Linked DNA regions of Macaca fascicularis. The protein of the gene in region 1 interacts with the protein of each later gene in a pairwise test. Links are inferred from orthologs where the notes say so. Each region holds a gene or a part of one and is shown on either strand. Other genes may lie near its edges.

The links. The genes of interacting proteins can lie anywhere in the genome.
Region 2: the proteins of POLR2L (region 1) and RPAP1 interact in binary tests that used the Homo sapiens proteins (3 or more experiments, as listed by UniProt). The link is inferred for Macaca fascicularis from reciprocal best matches to the Homo sapiens genes POLR2L and RPAP1.

Annotation. Positions count from the first base shown.
Region 1 is NC_088388.1:742,499-746,504, reverse strand, and holds POLR2L (DNA-directed RNA polymerases I, II, and III subunit RPABC5), read left to right. Parts: upstream 1-1,214; 5' UTR 1,215-1,235; coding exon 1,236-1,330; intron 1,331-3,229; coding exon 3,230-3,338; 3' UTR 3,339-3,506; downstream 3,507-4,006. UniProt on the Homo sapiens protein: DNA-dependent RNA polymerase catalyzes the transcription of DNA into RNA using the four ribonucleoside triphosphates as substrates.
Region 2 is NC_088381.1:18,078,873-18,081,174, reverse strand, and holds the end of RPAP1 (RNA polymerase II-associated protein 1), read left to right. Parts: intron 1-830; coding exon 831-1,007; intron 1,008-1,123; coding exon 1,124-1,183; intron 1,184-1,289; coding exon 1,290-1,439; 3' UTR 1,440-1,802; downstream 1,803-2,302. UniProt on the Homo sapiens protein: Forms an interface between the RNA polymerase II enzyme and chaperone/scaffolding protein, suggesting that it is required to connect RNA polymerase II to regulators of protein complex formation.

The sequences.
Region 1 (4,006 bases):
CCATGGGTGCCACTTTGCAGCCCACCCACCCCCCCACAGCCTACCTGGCACCTCCAAGGAGTCTTCTTTGCCTCCTACTGCACACCGACCCCCCATTTCCTCACCCCCACCCTAGGGGCACAGCAAGGAGGGTGCTGGTGCCAGCCCCCCCGCACTCCATCCGAGAGACACGGGCTCCCCCTCCCTCGTCCTCCGTAGGCCCTGAGCTCCAGGGCAAGGCAGAGCTGCGGCCTTCAGCGGGTCCTGCCAGTGCAGCCTCCGGGAGTCTGCCCAGGGGTCCCCTGTGCCGCGGTCTTCAAGGTTCAATTCAAAGAGCACCTCTTCCACGACGCCCTCCCCGACCTCCCTCCCGGGCCCCCTCTCCCCGTGCTCAGAGGCGCGTCTCAGCGTCGGGACGGCCAGCAGCCCAGCAGAGCCGGGACCGGGGAGGGCGCACCCCGACCCCCTTCCTGGGAAGGAGCGGAAAGAACGCGGACAGGAGGCCGGGGCGGGGAGCAGCCGGCGGGGGCCGTAACTGCGCGGCCGAGGCCAGGACGGCGCTCCTAGGGGCTGGGCCGCGTCCAGAATGGGACCCCCGAACTCGGCGCCGAGAGCCCCGGACACCCCGCGAGTAGAGGCGGAGGCGGAGGGACCCACTACCCGGCGGGGCCAAGAGGGGCAGCAGGAAGACCCGCCCCGGTCCGCGCCCGCCCTCTCCCCAAGCCCCCGCGCCGGACCCCACTTGTTGCTGCGTGTCGGCTCTAGGCTCGAACTCGCGCGCCCCGCTCGCGTCCGGCTCCAGCCGCTCCCGGTCGGACACCTCGGGCCGCGAGACCCTGGCCGCACGCCCCCACGACCCCCCGGGCGCTCTACCTGCGCCGCCGCCTCCCGCTCGCTTCGTCCGCTCCCTCCGCGCAGCTGTCAGTCAAGCGGACACGAGAAACGCGAACCGCCACCGCGGCTTTCGGCCCTGCTCAGACGCCGTAGCTCCGGGACGCACCAAGATGGTGGGCGGGGGTGTGTCGTCTGTTGCTGCCGCGGCCGTGCAGGCCCAGGAGCCCCGGGCCGCATGGGGAATCCCCATGGCGGCGGAAATTGCGGCCAGCTGCGCCGGGGCCAGTGTATGAACGGCTGGGGCAGCGGAGAACGAGCGGAGCCGGTCCCCCCGCGATAGTGGACGCGCCCGGGGCGGGGCCTGGGGGGAGTGCTTCCCGTGCGGCCGGACCGGGCCGGGCAGTCTGGGACGCGCCGCCGCCATGATCATTCCTGTACGGTGTTTCACTTGCGGCAAGATCGTCGGCAACAAGTGGGAGGCCTACCTGGGGCTGCTGCAGGCCGAGTACACTGAGGGGTGAGGCGCGGGCTGGGGCCGGGGCTGGGGGCTGAGTCCGCCCTGGGGTGCGGGCCGGGGCGGGAGGCGCAGCGCTGCCTGGGGCCGGCGCTCCATGAGCAGCTTCATACCCGGCCACTCCGGCCCAGCTCTGTGATCTGCTTTCGGGAGAACATTGTCCCCTGAAGTCTGGGGAGAGAGCGGAGTTGGGCTTCAAACCAGTGGTGTCCTGGGGATTCTAGGTGGCCTGGCGGGTGGCAGGCGTCTTGTCACCCGCAGTAAAGCCCTTGGTCTCCGTCCTAATCTCTCGTCTCTGCTCCCAGACCCACCCCATGTCCTGCAAACCTCGCTGCAGGACAGGCGGGCGCGGCGGCTCACGCCTGTAATCCCAGAAGTTTGGGAGGCCGAGGCGAGAGGCTTGCTTGAGCCCAGGAGGTCGAGACCAGCCTGGACAACCTGGGGAGACCCTGATCTCCAGAAATTTTTTCTTTTTTTTTTTTGGGGGGGACGGAGTCTCGCTCTGTCGCCCAGGCTGGAGTGCAGCGGCGCGATCTCGGCTCAGTGCAACCTCTGCTTCCTGGGCTCCAGGAATTCTCCCCAGTCGCCGGGACTACAGGCGTGTCCACGCCCGGCTAATTTTTGTATTTTTAGTAGAGATAGGAGTTCGCCATGTTGGCCAGGCTGGTCTCGAACTCCTGACCTCAGGTGATCCACCTGCCTCGGCCTCCTGGAGTGCTGAGATGACAGGTGTGAGCCACCGCCCCTGGCCCTCTTATCTTTTTAATTCCCCGGACTTGGTGGTGCACACCTGTGGTCCCAGCTACTTGGAAGGCTGAGGCGAGAGAATCGCTTGAGGCTGGGAGGCAGGTGAAGATTTCAGTGAGCCGAGATCACGCCACTGCACTCCAGCCTGGATGAGAGAGTGAAACTCCGTGTCACGCACACACACACACACACACAGAAAAAGAAATGCAGGGCAGACTTGCTGACCACCCTCATCATCGGGCTTTGTGGGGGAGGCATCCTTCTCCTGTGCTTGTCCCTCAGTGCTGCTGTCACCACCGTGCCTGAGTCTTGGTGCCCCTGCTGGAGTCTGACCCTTGCCTGCTGAGTCCTGGTCACATGTGAAACCCCAGGCTCGTGTGTGCCAGCCTGCCATAGGCTCTCAGTGCAGCTTGCTGGACGAATGAGTAAAGCGAGTGGGCTGCCAGAGTGAGTGGCTGGTGGCCTGTCCAGACCCTTTCCCAGGGATATGAACTGCAGGGGCCTCCCATGTGGCCTCCCCTTTCCCAAGCTTCTCTCTCTGCACATTGGAGCCATCAGTGTGGGAGTTTTCTGGAAGTATTGATGGTGACTGGACCTTGGTCCCAGGGAAATTAAAGCTTCTAATTGGCTTGGGAAATGGGAGAGGTGGCTCCCTGGAGAAGCAGTCTCTCCCTGATTGAAGGAAGCAGAGGTGAGAAAAGACGCCACAGTGGCAGAGTAGGGCTTGCTCTGGGGTGGGGGATGAACCAGCTAAGGGCAGGCCCCTGGAGAGCTACCCTGCTGTGGCTGGTGCGGGATGAGGGGAGCTGCGCATCAGGACCTCGGTGGCCTTGGTTTTCTATGCTCCCCCAATTACCTCTAGTTTTCGTTTCATTTATATTTCTTACATATGTTAGACACACATATGTACAGCCAGAGTAGGTGGGAGAGAAGGCTCCTCACGCTCCACCCAGGGATCTGGGCATTGCCAGGTTACTCCAGCCAGGATCATACCGCTAGGTCTCTACTTCTCATCCAGGTGAATGTGTTCGCCTTGCCGGTAGCAGGGGAGTGAGGCCAGCAGGCAGTGAGAGGCGGCCTGGATGTGGGCTCCAGGCCTGTGCAGACCGTGGAGAACTCAGCTGGCCTCTCTGTTCCTCCCCTCGCTTGACACAGGGATGCGCTGGACGCCCTGGGCCTGAAGCGCTACTGCTGCCGCCGGATGCTGCTGGCCCACGTGGACCTGATCGAGAAGCTGCTCAATTATGCACCCCTGGAGAAGTGACCAGGCTGGAATCCGCCTACCTGCCATGCTGACCATGGGCCATGAGCATCCTGCCCCAAGTTCACAAGGCTGAGGCATCCAGGAGCTGGCGCAATGCCTCGCCACAGCGTGTGTGTGTCCCATCCCCCACTCTGGAAGGAACAATCCAGTAAAGGTCTTTCAGAACTACCAAGGTCCCAGCCCTCACTAGGATGTCAGGGGCCAGGACTAGGCCCAGCTTTCACCGCGGCAGCCCAGGGAAGCCGACTGGGCCATGAATTCTCCTAGCCCTGGGGCCAGCCTGTTCCACAGGTACCCCTGCAGGAGGTGCTGCCAGGAGAGCCTTCCATCTCAGGGCTGAGGTTCCCTCCTTCTGGGTGCTCTTCAGACTGAGCAGAGGCTCCTGTACTCTCTCTCTTGGAATCTGAAGAGCCAGATTTAGGCCAGGCACGGTGGCTCACCCCTATAATCCCAGCACTTTGGGAGGCCAAGGCGGGTGGATCACGAGGTCAGGAGATTGAGGCCATGCTGGCTAACACGGTGAAACCCCGTCTCTACTAAACATACAAAACAAAAAAAACAGCCAGGCGAGGTGCCGGGCGCCTGTAGTCCCAGCTACTCGGGAGGCTGAGGCAGGAGAACTGCTTGAACCCGGGAGGGGGAGCTTGCAGTGAGCCGAGATTGCGCCA
Region 2 (2,302 bases), on another chromosome or scaffold:
GGAGCCTGAGACAGGAGGATCACTTGAACTCAGGAGGCTGAGGCTGCCAGTGAGCTATGATCACACCACTGCATTCCAGACTTGGAAATAGTAGGAGATTCTATTTAAAAGAAAAAAAAAAGTTACTATGTTTTGTTTTTAAGATTTTGTTTTTCTTTTTTTTTTTTTTTTTTTTTTAGACAGTCTCACTGTGTTGCTCAGGCTGGAGTAAAATGGCTCACTGCAACCTCCAGCTCCCAAGTTCAAGCGATTCTCCTGCCTCAACCTCCTGAGTAGCTGGGATTACAAGCACACAGCACCATGCCTGGCTAATTTTTTTTTTTTTTTGAGACAGAGTCTCGCGCTGTCGCCCAGGCTGGTGTGCAGTGGCATGATCTCGGCTCACTGCAACCTACACCCCCCGGGTTCAAGTGATTCCCCTGCCTCAGCCTCCGAAGTAGCTGGGACTACAAGCATCCGCCATCATGCCCAGCTAACTTTTGGATTTTCAGTAGAGATGGCATTTCACCACGTTGGCCAGGCTGGTCTTGAACTCCTAACTTCATGTGATCGGCCTGCCTCAGCCTCCCAAAGTGCTGGGATTGCAGGCATGGCCCACCACACATGGCCAATTTCATTCTTTTTAATGGCTGCTTCTCAGTTCCCAGTTTTCCCCGACATCTGCTCTGTAGTCTTTAACCCTGATCCTTGTGCTAGAAGAAGGACAGATGTCTGTCTAGGACCTGATCTCTGCCCTCATGATTTGGTTTCATGTGATTATTATCCATGCACCTTGTGGATGTATATATATTACTACCCTCCCCCTCAACACATCCTTTCGCCTGTCACAGTTGCCTGTGTCCCTGGAGTGTTACACAGTGCCTCCCGAAGACAACCTGGCCCTCCTTCAGCTCTACTTCCGGACCCTGGTTACTGGTGCGCTCCGTCCACATTGGTGCCCCGTGCTCTATGCTGTGGCTGTAGCTCATGTCAATAGCTTCATCTTCTCTCAGGACCCACAGAGCTCAGTAAGTTACATCTCCATCTTCAGAGGAAGGAAGAGAGCTGCCTCTGGGCCAGCTGGGGGAGAAGTGCTTGGTACCAGCCCTCGGCTCAGTGCCACCTCTCCCTGTTCTGCTTCTAGGATGAGGTAAAAGCTGCCCGCAGGAGTATGCTGCAGAAAACGTGGCTGCTGGCAGATGAGGTAGGGTCAGGGCCATTAGGAGGGTGGGATATTAGAGGATCTTGGGGGACAGAGACCACAACAGGATCTCATTACCTACTTCATAAGGTTTCTTTCCTCTCTGCAGGGTCTCCGGCAGCACCTCCTCCACTATAAGCTTCCCAATTCCACACTCCCAGAGGGCTTTGAGCTCTATTCTCAGTTGCCCCCTCTGCGTCAGCACTACCTCCAGAGACTGACTTCAACGGTGCTCCCAAATGGGGTATCAGAGACCTAGGATAGTTGCTATAGATGGAAAGATGGGTACATTGTCCTGTATCCAGCCTTTCAACAGATGCCTGGCCAGACAAAGGACATTGTGTCCTAATGGCAGGCAGAAGACCAAGGAGCAGAAAGCTTGCCTTCCTGGGAGCAGGTGGTTTGAGCTGTTTTGGAGCAGAATGAGCCCTACCATTACATCCTGATACCTGGAGCTTCGAAGGTCTGTGCTGGGAGTGAAGAGCAGCTTAGCTATTTACCCCCTCTTTGGGGACAGGGCAAACTAAATGCATCCCTTCTTACCTAACTCCCAACCCCTGCCCCGGGCTAAGGTATATGAATGCTATAGTTGTACATTAAAATGTTTTTTATCTCCCGGAAATCTGATTTGGACTGATTTCAGCCATGTTAGTTCAGGGTTAGTATGTGGGGGTGGGTTATCCCAGGTGAGGAGCAGGACTGCTGTGAGAGAGATGGGGAAGAATCATAAGTGGGAGGTAAAAACTTTGTCCACATCTGGAGACAGCAAGAATATGGGACCTGCCAGGCACAGTAGTGAACACCTGTAGTCCCAACTACTTGGGAGGCTGAGGCAGGATGATCACTTGATTCCAGGAATTCAATTCCAGCCTGGCCAACATAGTGAGATGCCATGTCTGTCTGTCTGTCTATCTGTCTGTCTATTTATTTCTGAGACAGGGTCTTACTCTGTCACCCAGGCTGGAGTGCAGTGGCATGATCATAGCTCACTGCAGCCTCGACCTCCTGGGCTCAAGCCATTCTCCCACCTCTGCCTCCTGAGTGGCTGGGACCACAGGCAAGTACCACCATGCCTGGCTAATTTTTTGTATTTGTAGAGACAGGGTTTCACCATGTTGCCCA